Linked DNA regions of Lepisosteus oculatus. The protein of the gene in region 2 purifies or fractionates together with the protein of the main gene of each other region. This does not show direct contact. Links are inferred from orthologs where the notes say so. Each region holds a gene or a part of one and is shown on either strand. Other genes may lie near its edges.

What was found. Proteins that work in one complex are often made in the same cells at the same time.
Region 1: the proteins of pln1 (region 2) and sarcoplasmic/endoplasmic reticulum calcium ATPase 1 purify together in Homo sapiens (affinity purification with western blotting, with the first as the bait; 3 studies listed by BioGRID). This does not show direct contact. The link is inferred for Lepisosteus oculatus from reciprocal best matches to the Homo sapiens genes PLN and ATP2A1.

The regions. Positions count from the first base shown.
Region 1 is NC_090699.1:1,559,897-1,567,259, reverse strand, and holds the start of sarcoplasmic/endoplasmic reticulum calcium ATPase 1, read right to left. Parts: upstream 3,078-7,363; 5' UTR 3,015-3,077; coding exon 2,897-3,014; intron 1-2,896. UniProt on the Homo sapiens protein: Key regulator of striated muscle performance by acting as the major Ca(2+) ATPase responsible for the reuptake of cytosolic Ca(2+) into the sarcoplasmic reticulum.
Region 2 is NC_090697.1:647,148-654,932, forward strand, and holds the start of pln1 (cardiac phospholamban), read left to right. Parts: upstream 1-4,756; 5' UTR 4,757-4,927; intron 4,928-5,115; exon of another isoform or gene 5,116-5,240; intron 5,241-7,785. UniProt on the Homo sapiens protein: Reversibly inhibits the activity of ATP2A2/SERCA2 in cardiac sarcoplasmic reticulum by decreasing the apparent affinity of the ATPase for Ca(2+).

The DNA.
Region 1 (7,363 bases), on a different chromosome or scaffold from region 2:
TACTGTCACACAGAGACACAGCTCTCCTACAGCACTGATCTCTATTACTGTCCCCACACAGAGACACAGTTCTTTTACAGCACTGATCTCTATTACTGTCCCACACAGAGACACAGCTCTCCTACAGCACTGATCTCTATTACTGTCCCACACAGAGACACAGCTCTTTTACAGCACTGATCTCTATCGCTGTCAAACACAGAGACACAGCTCTTTTACAGCCCTGATCTCTATTACTGTCCCACACAGAGACACAGCTCTTTTACAGCCCTGATCTCTATTACTGTCCCACACAGAGACACAGTTCTTTTACAGCACTGATCTCTATTACTGTCCCACACAGAGACACAGCTCTCTTACAGCACTGATCTCTATTACTGTCCCACACAGAGACACAACTCTCCTACAGCACTGATCTCTATTACTGTCCCCACACAGAGACACAGCTCTCTTACAGCACTGATCTCTATTACTGTCCCACACTGAGACACAGCTCTCTTACAGCACTGATCTCTATTACTGTCCCACACAGAGACACAACTCTCTTACAGCACTGATCTCTATTACTGTCACACAGAGACACAGCTCTCTTACAGCACTGATCTCTATTACTGTCCCACACAGAGACACAGCTCTCTTACAGCACTGATCTCTATTACTGTCCCACACAGAGACACAGCTCTTTTACAGCACTGATCTCTATTACTGTCCCACACAGAGACACAACTCTCTTACAGCACTGATCTCTATTACTGTCACACAGAGACACAGCTCTCTTACAGCACTGATCTCTATTACTGTCCCACACAGAGACACAGCTCTCTTACAGCACTGATCTCTATTACTGTCCCACACAGAGACACAGCTCTCTTACAGCACTGATCTCTATTACTGTCCCACACAGAGACACAGCTCTCTTACAGCACTGATCTCTATTACTGTCCCACACAGAGACACAGCTCTCTTACAGCACTGATCTCTATTACTGTCACACATAGAGACACAGCTCTTTTACAGCACTGATCTCTATCGCTGTCAAACACAGAGACACAGCTCTTTAACAGCCCTGATCTCTATTACTGTCCCACACAGTGACGCAGCTCTCTTACAGCACTGATCTCTATTACTGTCCCACACAGACACAGCTCTCCTACAGCACTGATCTCTATTACAGTCCCCACACAGAGACACAGTTCTTTTACAGCACTGATCTCTATTACTGTCCCACACAGAGACACAGCTCTTTTACAGCACTGATCTCTATTACTGTCACACAGAGACACAGCTCTCCTACAGCACTGATCTCTATTACTGTCCCCACACAGAGACACAGTTCTTTTACAGCACTGATCTCTATTACTGTCCCACACAGAGACACAGCTCTCCTACAGCACTGATCTCTATTACTGTCCCACACAGAGACACAGCTCTTTTACAGCACTGATCTCTATCGCTGTCAAACACAGAGACACAGCTCTTTTACAGCCCTGATCTCTATTACTGTCCCACACAGAGACACAGCTCTTTTACAGCCCTGATCTCTATTACTGTCCCACACAGAGACACAGTTCTTTTACAGCACTGATCTCTATTACTGTCCCACACAGAGACACAGCTCTCTTACAGCACTGATCTCTATTACTGTCCCACACAGAGACACAACTCTCCTACAGCACTGATCTCTATTACTGTCCCCACACAGAGACACAGCTCTCTTACAGCACTGATCTCTATTACTGTCCCACACTGAGACACAGCTCTCTTACAGCACTGATCTCTATTACTGTCCCACACAGAGACACAACTCTCTTACAGCACTGATCTCTATTACTGTCACACAGAGACACAGCTCTCTTACAGCACTGATCTCTATTACTGTCCCACACAGAGACACAGCTCTCTTACAGCACTGATCTCTATTACTGTCCCACACAGAGACACAGCTCTTTTACAGCACTGATCTCTATTACTGTCCCACACAGAGACACAACTCTCTTACAGCACTGATCTCTGTTATTGTCACACAGAGACACAGCTCTTTTACAGGAACAGCTTTGTCTGTAATTCAGCAGTAATTCATCTCTAAGATGTTTTGAGAGAAGTTCCTTGCACCAGTTCAGGAGAAGTTCAGGAGAAATTGATTTTCATCAATCACAGTCACAGTCACAGAAATGGTTGTATTTTCCAAGTGAACATGCAGTCCCTGCCCGTCTCATCCCTCTCCCTACCTCTCCATCTTTCTCCCTCTATCCATCTCTCTCTCTGTTCCTGACCTGTCTCTCTCTCAGTCCCTGATCTGTCTCTCTCCCTGTTCCTGACCTGTCTCTCTCTCAGTACCTGATGTGTCTCTCTCTCTCTGTTCCTGACCTGTCTCTCTCTCAGTCCCCGATCTGTCTCTTTCTCTCCGTGTCCCTGACCCGTCTCTGTCTCTCTCTGCCCCAGACTCTGACCCGTCTCTCTCTCTCTCTCTATCCCCAGACTCTGACCCGTCTCTCTCTCTCTCTCTCTCTGCCCCAGACTCTGACCCGTCTCTCTCTGTCTCTCTCTCTCTGCCCCAGACTCTGACCCGTCTCTCTCTCTCTCTCTCTCTGCCCCAGGCCCTGACCCGTCTCTCCCTCTCTCTCTCTCTGCCCCAGACTCTGACCCGTCTCTCTCTCTCTCTGTCTCTCTCTCTCTGCCCCAGGCCCTGACCCGTCTCTGTCTCTCTCTCTCTGCCCCAGGCCCTGACCCGTCTCTCTCTCTCTCTATCCCCAGACTCTGACCCGTCTCTCTCTCTCTCTGCCCCAGACTCTGACCCGTCTCTCTCTCTCTCTCTCTCTCTGCCCCAGGCCCTGACCCGTCTCTGTCTCTCTCTCTCTGCCCCAGGCCCTGACCCGTCTCTGTCTCTGGGACTCACCGTTGAAACCGTACTTAGACAGGTTCTTCTTGACCTGCTCGGGGGACAGCCCCGTGTTCTCGTTCACCCCGAAGTACGCCAGGCACTCCTCGGTGGTCTTGCTGTGACCGTTGTCCATGCTGCTCCCTGTCTGTTCACGCACACACAGCGAGAAGCCAGGAGACAGAAAGTGCGAGGGCTCTGAGGGGCTGCGCGGCTCTTATACCAGCCCGGCGCGCGCGGCCCCCCCGCCGGCGCGCGCCATTGGCCGCGCGAGGGCAGAGGGGCCGGGCCGGGCCGGGACACAGGGATCGCGCCCCGATCTGTTTTTGGAAAGTGCCGCGTCAGGAGAACAGGGGGGACAGGAGAGCAGAGCGAGGAGGAGGGAGGAGGGAGGAGGGAGTGAGTGACAGGTCAAGTGTGTCTCTCCAGGAGAGGAGGAAGAGGGTCAGTACACACTGAGAGAGAGAGGGGTTAATACAGACACACTGAGAGAGAGAGGGGTTCATACAGACACACTGAGAGAGAGAGGGGTTCATACAGACACACTGAGAGAGAGGGGTTAATACAGACACACTGAGAGAGAGAGGGGTTCATACAGACACACTGAGAGAGAGAGAGGGGTTAATACACATTGAGAGAGAGGGGGTTAATACAGACACACTGAGAGAGAGGGAGATTGATACACAGTGAGAGAGAAGGGGGTTAATACACACACACTGACTGGACACTCCAGTACATTATCACTGCACAGAGAGAGAGAGGGGTTAATACAGACACACTGACTGGACACTAGAGTACATTAACACTGCACTGAGAGAGAGGGGTTTATACACACACTGACTGGACACTCCAGTACATTAACACTGCACTGAGAGAGAGGGGTTAATACAGACACACTGACTGGACACTCCAGTACATTAACACTACACTGAGAGAGAGAGAGGGGTTAATACAGACACACTGACTGGACACTCCAGTACATTAACACTACACTGAAAGAGAGAGAGGGGTTAATACACACCTGACTGGACACTCCAGTACATTAACACTGCACTGAGAGAGAGAGGGGTTAATAGACACACTGACTGGACACTCCAGTACATTAACACTACACTGAGAGAGAGAGAGGGGTTAATACACACCTGACTGGACACTCCAGTACATTAACACTGCACTGAGAGAGAGGGGTTAATACAGACACACTGACTGGACACTCCAGTACATTAACACTGCACTGAGAGAGAGAGGGGTTAATAGACACACTGACTGGACACTCCAGTACATAAACACTGCACTGAGAGAGGGGGGTTCATACAGACACACTGACTGGACACTCCAGTACATTAACACTGCACTGAGAGAGAGGGGTTAATACACACACACTGACTGGACACTCCAGTACATTAACACTGCACTGAGAGAGAGAGGGGTTAATACAGACACACTGACTGGACACTCCAGTACATTAACACTACACTGAGAGAGAGAGAGGGGTTAATACACACCTGACTGGACACTCCAGTACATTAACACTGCACTGAGAGAGAGGGGTTAATACAGACACACTGACTGGACACTCCAGTACATTAACACTGCACTGAGAGAGAGAGGGGTTAATACAGACACACTGACTGGACACTCCAGTACATTAACACTGCACTGAGAGAGAGAGAGGGGTTCATACAGACACACTGACTGGACACTCCAGTACATGAACACTGCACTGAGAGAGAGAGGGGTTCATACACACACACTGACTGGACACTCCAGTACATTAACACTGCACTGAGAGAGAGAGAGGGGTTCATACAGACACACTGACTGGACACTCCAGTCCATTAACTCTACAGTGTGCGAGGGACAGAGAAAGAGGGGGAGGGGCTCGTGTGGTATTTCAGCTGAAAGTTCACTTAAGCCTCCTTCAGCACAGAGGGTGGAATCTGAGATCGCAGGATGTGTGAATGTTACAATAGGCCTCCATGTGGCCCAGAGGGTGTACTGGCCTAAAACACAGACACTGAGCTCTCCAGTGAGCCTGTACTCCAGGTGTGTGTCTGTCTCTGTACAGTGAGTCTGTACTCCAGGTGTGTGTCTGTCTCTATACAGTGAGCCTGTACTCCAGGTGTGTGTGTGTGTGTCTATACAGTGAGTCTGGACTCCAGGTGTGTGTGTCTATACAGTGAGTCTGTACTCCAGATGTGTGTGTCTATACAGTGAGTCTGTACTCCAGGTGTGTGTGTGAGTGTGTGTCTATACAGTAAGTCTGTACTCCAGGGGTGTGTGTGTGTGTCTATACAGTGAGTCTGTACTCCAGGTGTGTGTCTGTCTCTATACAGTGAGTCTGTACTCCAGGTGTGTGTGTGTTTCTATACACTGAGTCTGTACTCCAGGTGTGTGTGTGTGTCTATACAGTGTGTCTGTACTCCAGGTGTGTGTGTGTGTGTCTATACAGTGAGTCTGTACTCCAGGTGTGTGTCTGTCTCTATACAGTGAGCCTGTACTCCAGGTGTGTGTGTGTGTCTATACAGTGAGTCTGTACTCCAGGTGTGTGTGTGTGTCTATACAGTGAGTCTGTACTCCAGGTGTGTGTCTGTCTCTATACAGTGAGTCTGTACTCCAGGGGTGTGTGTGTGTCTCTATACAGTGAGTCTGTACTCCAGGTGTGTGTGTGTGTGTCTATACAGTGAGTCTGTACTCCAGGTGTGTGTGTGTGTCTATACAGTGAGTCTGTACTCCAGGTGTGTGTGTCTATACAGTGAGTCTGTACTCCAGGTGTGTGTGTGTGTCTATACAGTGAGTCTGTACTCCAGGTGTGTGTGTCTATACAGTGAGTCTGTACTCCAGGTGTGTGTGTGTCTATACAGTGAGTCTGTACTCCAGGTGTGTGTGTGTGTGTGTCTATACAGTGAGTCTGTACTCCAGGTGTGTGTCTGTCTCTATACAGTGAGTCTGTACTCCAGGGGTGTGTGTGTCTATACAGTGAGTCTGTACTCCAGGTGTGTGTGTGTGTGTGTCTATACACTGAGTCTGTACTCCAGGTGTGTGTGTGTGTGTATGTCTACACAGTGAGTCTGTACTCCAGGTGTGTGTGTGTGTATATGTCTACACAGTGAGTCTGTACTCCAGGTGTGTGTGTGTGTGTGTGTGTGTGTGTCTATACAGTGAGTCTGTACTCCAGGTGTGTGTGTGTCTATACACTGAGTCTGTACTCCAGGTGTGTGTGTCTATACAGTGAGTCTGTACTCCAGGTGTGTGTGTGTGTCTATACAGTGAGTCCGTACTCCAGGTGTGTGTGTGTGTGTGTGTGTCTATACACTGAGTCTGTACTCCAGGTGTGTGTGTCTATACAGTGAGTCTGTACTCCAGGTGTGTGTGTGTGTCTATACAGTGAGTCCGTACTCCAGGTGTGTGTGTGTGTGTCTATACAGTGTGTCTGTACTCCAGGTGTGTTTGTGTGTCTATACAGTGAGTCTGTACTCCAGGTGTGTGTGTCTATACAGTGAGTCTGTACTCCAGGTGTGTGTGTGTGTCTATACAGTGTGTGTGTGTGTGTGTGCTCCAGGTGTGTGTATATGTGTCTATACAGTGAGTCTGTACTCCAGGTGTGTGTGTGTGTCTATACAGTGTGTCTGTACTCCAGGTGTGTGTGTGTGTGTCTGTACAGTGTGTCTGTACTCCAGGTGTGTGTGTGTGTTTCTATACACTGAGTCTGTACTCCTGGTGTGTTTGTTTATACAGTGAGTCTGTACTCCAGGTGTGTGTGTGTGTCTATACAGTGAGTCTGTACTCCTGGTGTGTTTGTTTATACAGTGAGTCTGTACTCCAGGTGTGTGTGTGTGTCTATACAGTGAGTCTGTACTCCAGGGGTGTGTGTGTCTATAAAGTGGGTCTGTACTCCAGGTGTGTGTGTGTGTCTGTACAGTGAGTCTGTACTCCAGGTGTGTGTGTGTGTTTCTATACACTGAGTCTGTACTCCTGGTGTGTTTGTTTATACAGTGTGTCTGAATTGTAGCTTTGTGTGTGTCTGTAAATTGTCTCTATTTCTCAATGTCTGTGTGTGTTATTTGATCCATGTTTCCTTCGCTGTGCTGTATACAAGTGACCTCTGACCTTTCAGGTCACAGTGTCATGCTGTCAACATGTTCCTCAGGGACACAAATTGACATTTAACTCAACATTGAAGACAGATTGAATTACTGCCCCTCTCTCTCAGTGTGTCAGATGTACTGAAACTTGTGTGTCGTGTACATAATGTTAATGTACTGGAGTGTCCAGTCAGTGTGTCTGTATTAACCCCTCTCTCTCTCAGTGCAGTGTTAATGTACTGGAGTGTCCAGTCAGTGTGTCTGTAATAACCCCTCTCTCTCTCAGTGTAGTGTTAATGTACTGGAGTGTCTAGTCAGTGTTTCTGTATTAACCCCTCTCTCTCTCAGTGCAGTGTTAATGTACTGGAGTGTCCAGTCAGTGTGTGTGTATGAACCCCTC
Region 2 (7,785 bases):
GAGGCCACTGGAGCAAACCAGGAAAGTTGTAAGGTGGCTCTGGATCAGAAGGAGTGATCTGTGGGAGTCAGCTCAATGCCTCTTGGGCACAAACTGTGATGTGTTCAGACTCCACTGTGCTAAAACACTCTAAACACCTTCTGACACCAGGTCACATCAGTGTTAAGCATCAAGAGATGTTGACTAGTATTGTTCTGTACAGCAACTTGAGATGAAAGGAGCTATATAAAACTTAATTTCAGTTCACTTAATTTCTCTTTTGACAGCACAAAACTCATCCATTACCAAAGTCATGAAGTGCAATTTCCATTTCCTGATCGCTGATTAGATGAGCTGCTAATAATCATTGTCATGGGACTTACAAGGAAAAATATACAGCAATATGTATAGATATAGCCACCAGGTTTGTCTTGTAACTCTTCTGAACATTTAGTGTTTTTGCTTTTAAACATTTTCTTAGCACTCAAGGGTTTGCTTTTTAGAAATATGTGTTAGATACCAACATTTCATCTAACTACCTAATCATAGATAAAATTATAAAATAATTTATAAAAAAATAAAGAAAAGATTACACGTCCAGAGAATGCCCACAAATCCTGTATTTTAAGGTATGTGGTTATAAGCTGCAATAAGGCTCAATAATTCATTTCACAAAATTTCTGGCAAGACTGAGACATGGCTCTTACCATGTCACATAACACAGCTAATCTCCTTGCATTTCCTAGAATGTTATCTCTGTCTACTCTTCTACTACTATCCTCCAGACACCTGCTTTTCAGCACACAGTTCCTGTTTCAGGCAGACAAGCTGCCAATAAGTCGATTTCTCACACATCATACTCAGAACAGTTTGGTAGAAGAATCAAAGAAGTACTCAAACATAAGATGTAACATTAGCTGCTCATAATATAATGTAAGGATATGTATAAATGTATACAAATTTATATACAATACAATTATATACAATGTATATAAATGTGTATAAATGTAAGGATATGTTTATATACTCGTCTTGTATATGTATTATATATATATACTGTGTGTCTTGTATTATATATTTCAGTTATACAAGATCAAGATCAACAGAAAATTTAGCTAAAGCATGAAGGAATCAGCCATGATTCACCAAAATGGCCATGTGGAATTGTAAATGCTATGATACACACTTTTTTTATATCTGTGGATTTTCTGTTTTTTTTTGTTGCTGTATAATGTCTCGGTGTTATAATCAGAAGAGTGTTAAATTGCTAAGATTTCTTTACCAGAACTCCTGAAATATTTATAGGGATTTACATTTTCCCCACTGTTTCCTCTTAAAGCTAAAACCTCGGATTTATTCTGTATCCAAAGTTACACCTTCAAAGGATCGATATAATCAGATATCACAAATGTTAGAAGTCCAGGTCACATTTCCTATCAGAACAACTTTTCTTGGAATGGAACCAGGAAGAAGGGAATCCTGAAGAGCCTGCTGCAGTACGGGCTTTTTCAGCCATCAGGATGAAAGCAATTCCCACAGTAGGCCCTATCTTAACTACATAAATACCAACGAGAACAAGAGCAAGCACAGACTGAGCTCAGCTGCCACTCTCTCATTATCAGATTGGAACATAAAACAGACTTCGTGCACAGCTCTGCCTTGTCCCTGAAAACAGCAGAAGAGCCACAAATAACCAGGGACCTGGGTACAGAAGACACAGCAGGTGTTAGGATGACTGGTGCACAGCACTAATCTCAATAATTTAGTCAAACACAGGCGCATTATACCCAGGGGCTGAAGATGCATCTCCTTTGCCTTACTACACACACCAGAGCAACCAACTATTTCTTCCTGTTTCTTTCCTCACATACCATGCTTTGAGCTGTCGAATGCTATTATTGCAAAGAGGAAATTAATTCCAATGGAAAACACTGCAGAGCTAGATTAACTGATGTCTACAAAAGATGAGACAAGATTATTGCTATTTTAACAAGCCTCCTTGCAGCCTCAGATCCTGGCTGAAAACTGAAGTTGGTAAAAGCAGTTGTATGGAAAGAAATGAATTCTGAGTGATTACATCCTAAAGGTAAAGACATGGGTAGCACCCCTCGTTCAGCTGTGAAAACAATTTTTTCTTTTATTTAATACTGAAATTACCCATCAGTTAGCCTGAAATTAGGTCTAACCAGTTTTAATAACGGCTTGCAGTTACAGCAGAGCAGTGTGAATCACAGAACATTACAATAAACAAAGCTATGTAAACCAAGCTCCAGACCTATTGTAATTACAATCCACTAAATCCAGAGATGTTACAATATATTAAATACAATTTTAATTACATACAGTATCTTTAATGTTTTACCGCTATTCAAACAACTGCTTGCATCTCCCTTGCTTAAGCCTACTGCCCATCTTAAAAACCTTTGGAACAGCTGTTTTTAACCCACTTTATTAATTAGCTGTGACAGGTGTATACTGCATATGCGTGTTTATTTGGTATTAGTTTTATTATTGTTTCCCTGGGAATAAACAGAACGTATGGCTTAACGAACACCTAACACCATGTTGCAAAATATCATTTCATCCAGCTGGCGGGTTCTCTCTCTCGTCCTGAGCTGAGTCAGCTGAGCGAGGGAGACTGAGGACTCTAAAGAGCATCCAGTGATGATTTAAAAGCTATACAATACAAGATCGCCTTAGCCGTGCACCTTCATTACAGTAATAGCAGTGGTAAAACAACTCATTATTCACCATTTGTCACTTAAACGTCTAAAATAACACCAGGGCAAAGTCAGAACATCATTAACATGTCTGAATGGCACAATAAGAAACACTCTTAAGGCTTTTTTTTTTAACGGTAAGTAAGGTACAGTAAAAACAAGTCAAACCTCCTTCTAGTATAAGTACTTGTTTAGCATTAACTGTAAGTCTTTTTTTTTGCAAAGCAAAAGGTCCTTTTCACACTTTAATTGAAAACAAATACAAACATCATGCTTAGAAAACATAAAAATAAGGGGCAATAAGGGTTTTGTAGAATGAATGAGTATTGTTCAGTGGAGGTGCTTCAGGAGTTAGAGCAGCTCACTTGTCAAGACTCGTAATGTACCAGCTCTCAGTCGAAGGGGGGACTGTAAGACAACGCTCTAGGACTTAATGTGTGCAACTCGGATTACGCATTGCATTAAATTGTCACCTTCTCATTCATTGTAGCTCGAACATTATGCAACTGGTCTTCCATTATAAAGACGGCAAAAAGAATTCCTCTCATGTGTGTTAGCATAGCTGGGACAATGCGAAAGACCACTGCCTGCCAACAACAGCAGTGCTCTAGCCAGAGAAAACAGAGTAGTTTATCCTCCTGTTATGTACCCATGTTTGAGTTCTGCCCTTCTACTCCAAGTGCGTCGAGCAAGTCATTCTAAAAATGTGATTTTGGAACTTGTTTTGACTTAAGAGAGGCCAGCTAAACTCCATCTAAGGAAGTGTAAGCTGGAATAGCAAACTCCTTTTGCTTAAGAGCTTTGTGACTGAAAATCTCTAGAGGTTTGTTGGCACCATGTTTGCATATGTACACTGATTTACAAGAAAGGGGAAACACAGAGAGGGAGGCCTTTTACTTTACCAACCCACTGGAATACTGAAGTCGACACAAGCAGGTCAACACCAATCTCCTATGTGCTCTAGTCTAACATTTAGAATAACAAAGACTCAGGGCCGATAGTGACACGTCAGAGCTAGTTGTTTACAAAGATTGACAACTAATACAGAGGCTTCAGAAATATTAAAACATGTTTTCAAAAGTGAAGAATGGCTATAATACTGTACATCCATAGTCAAATACAAAGATATGAGATATTCTATGATTTATGCAAAATACTTTTTAGGATGATATTTTTACATTCTATGTAACTAGATTTTTGGCAGGCAGGACTCCCTGACGTTAGACAGTTCATATCAGTAACATCACTGTGTATCAGAAAGAACTGCTGCCGAACACAAACATTAGTGACAAGTTATAGTTGTCTTAGTGCTAACCCTTTAAAAGTTTTTATAATCCTAAAAATATTTTGAAAATGCTTTATCAGCAGCATATAACTGAAACGTATTGCTTTAAACACAGACAGATATGCTTAATTAATTTAGCTCTTGGTTACATCCCCAAGAAATTGATTTAAGGCAAAAACCTAAATTCCGTGAAAGGGAGATTATACATCTCCAGGACAGGCTGTTGAACCCCTTTTGCTTACGTTTCCAAAAACTCACGAACTCAAGCACAGATTAATATTATAAATGTTAGAAAAAACAGATCAAGTTGTTAGCTTCTGAAAAAACTTTTCTGGAGAAGATAATTTTATTTTGGAACTCAGGCATTTAAATGATTGACTTTATTGTAAATAATAACAAGTGAAATCAAGATACTGCATTGAATGTACTTAAGTTATACTTTTTCAAAACAGGTGGACAGAAGCCCTGAGGTGCTTTTCTCACAGAAAGCAGTAGAACAACTTATTTGATCTCATGGCAACATCTGAACTTCTTTGTCAGAGCTAACCCTAGCAGTAGTAGCAATCATACCAAATGAAATGCAAATGGTTGAGTACGCACTGATCCTGTTCCAAAGGAAAATAGCACCAGACTCTTAAAATGAGGTATGTATGGCAACAGCAAACAGGTCGTGAGAGAAAGAGTCCCTCTGTGATCACCTGGAGCCAGAGCTGGCTGCCAGCTCTGACAGACTGTGTCCAATCCGTGTTGCCAGGGGGCTGGATAAACAGCAAAACCCCTCCTTTACTCGGGGCGCTGCTCTCCCCCGCCTCCTGGTTCTGTTCCCATAAACTCTGTGACATAGTCAGACAAGCAGCCAGAGAACCTCTGGGTCTGTTGGACCAGGGCGCTTTCCCACAGTCCGCTGAGCTGTGTGTCCGCGATCGGTCGGCCAGAGCAGGAGGTAAGACAAGCCATCCTCCTCACACCACACGTACTGCCTGCCAGGGCTTGTGGCCCCACAGTCCCTCCGGCTGAGAGACGGAAATGCAGGACAGAGCAGGGAATACCTCTGGAGACACAAGAGGCTTACACTGAAAAATCAAGGTCTTAATAACTGAAGTCATATAACCTCTCCTTATTCATTTGTAGAACCACACACACTGGACGTTGGGCCAGCAACCACTTACTGGAACAATTAGAGGTCAGTGGTGATGGATAACCGATGCTGGTGAAGCTCACTGTTACATTTTATATTCATCAAGACTCTCTAGATTGTGAGTGATCTCCTTCGATAAAATTACCTAGTTGTTCAGAACAAAACATTTCTGTAAAAGATCATGGATTTTGCTAAAAATGTTAAACGTATTGTTAGGAGATCTACAGGTAGACAAATGGCTGCAATTACACTAATCAGATTTCCATTTACCATCACATACCTTTCATATGATGTAACAAAGCAAATGCTTTTAAATGGATTTGTCCAAAAATAGCAATTCCCCTGTCAACGAGATATATTTTAATACATTATATGGACTTTGTATTTAATGAGCTGGAAAACCTTTTTTATTATTCAAACTAGAGCTTTGTGAATCACAGTTCATCCAAGATAGGCTTTCCAAATCTTTGTCTCTTCAAGGAATTAACAAAAACCGATGCTCCTTAATTATCACCGAAAAACGTGGAGTCAAACCAGTCTGAATATGAACTGCAGCTACAAATATTTATATTAAGAGTAAGCATGGCATTTAAACTGAAGGCTATGAAACTGTAAAGGGGATCATGAAATGTTTAAGGCTAACCATGAGAATATACAAAAGGAACAACCTTTAGAGAACTGGGTTTTAATTTTCTATCCGAAAACTATACGAACAGAATGTTTATTCTTGCGTGCTTTAACTTTACAACATTAATGCATTATAGTTTATATAACAAACCATACGTGTTTCACATTTTATTTACAAAATATATTTATTTTATTTTTTATTACTTTCATGATATAAAAGAACAGACTTACTGACCCATTTAAAATAGACATTCATTCATTCAGACAACATTGTAACGACAGCTAATTTCAATAAAGTCTGTAACAAAACAGAACTCCTAAAAAGAATAGCGATAAAAAATAGTGCCGATAATATGTTGCAAATAAGAAGTTGTGAAAAATTTCTGAGGCTGTTGCCTCCCATATGTAACTGCAGCCTCATGCATTAAATAAAGATCCACAGAGAAAACTATTTTGCAGAAAGCAAATCTGAAAACCCACACCATTGTACTAGTCCTGTTACAGTTCAATATGAAAGTATCTGTATTTGCATCAAAGACACAGTGGTCTCTCTTGAATTTGCATTTATGCAGATGTCTGTATTTCAGACAAAAGATCCCTTCAAGCAAGCAAAGGTTAAAGATGCACTGCTGTGAAAGCTACAGTATGTTCCTCTGCAATTGTCCTTTATACACAGCAGTACATTTGGAAAATTATGTTACCCAGAAAACTGCGCTGGCCCTTTTATGTATGAAACTAAAGACTGGAATGATGCGACATGCAATAGGGAACAGATAACATCTAAAGAAACTCTATTTTGAACAAAAACTTGATTAACAAAGGTTTCAAAGCGAATGCCAATAAAAAAGCCATGTCACTATTGCTGGCATTGCCAGGTCTTTTTATTTCTTTTGGCTTCACCGTCATCAGGAGTCCTGCAGCGTGATCTCCTTTGAGAGGGGGAGATAATTCCCTAGCAGGTCACACTCTAAAGATAAAGGACAGTCAGTTCAGTGCATGAAGCAGAGTGACCCTAGAGATTACTTACTAATGCAATCATGGAAACAACAGCTCACAACTGCGGCCAGCCGTACGTTACTGTCTGCCTTAAGATGACTTATTTTCATGGGATATCAGCCAAAAAAGGTCTTTCTTCATTTTGTTTATGAATTTACATTCGGTTTTAGAAGATTTCCTTCTTAGGTTATGCTGGAAATGTTGGTTGTTGGTTCTGTGTCTAGTCTTTGATGAACCTAAAAGTAAAGTGCTACTATTTCAAGGGAACCAATCCTTGAAAACATATTCAGCATTATTTAAGGATTATTACAAACACCTGATCATCACAGGTACTTGTTGCTAATCCTGTAAAAATATTTTACATGAAAAAATTCAGAATTTCTAACTTTTTAAAATTGTAGAAAATATTATAGCCAGTAACGCCTGGCACTGAGAATATTATGTAAGCCTAAACAGCATTCTGTCAGTGAATTTTTGTTTAACCTGCACTTAGTGCTTTGAGTTGACAAGTTTAACATGAATTTTATACTGTTATATTAGCAGTTATAAATTGGCTTTTAAGGACTGTACACGTTCTTAATTTAAAATTCACATGTATATGAGGCATTTTGTCATTTTAAACTAGTTATTAAGAGACAAATATGGTTCTGTAGTAAGGCACATTATCAAAAAGATTAGATTTATTTAACTTACTGAGAGTGGTGGTCACAAACCGCTTAAATTACAACTGTATGAGAAGCCTTCCTGCTGACTGATTGGAAATTCTCGGTCTTGCTTGTCGATGCCTTCCCTGCTTTTCAAAGTCAGACCGAGTTCTGAAGCCCAAGTTGCTCAAAGCTCTTAACAACGTCAAGGATATAATGTCCACAACAACACTGTTTTGATACTGTCGGCACAACCTTACAAACAAGCCGCCTCATGAGTTATCTAACTTACAGCATTCAGGTTATGGTTGTTCAGTCTGAATCCATCACTACAAATGTTTATCGGGTTTGTCAAGTGATTGGTTCAAATAGAAACTAACATTTATTTACTATGCA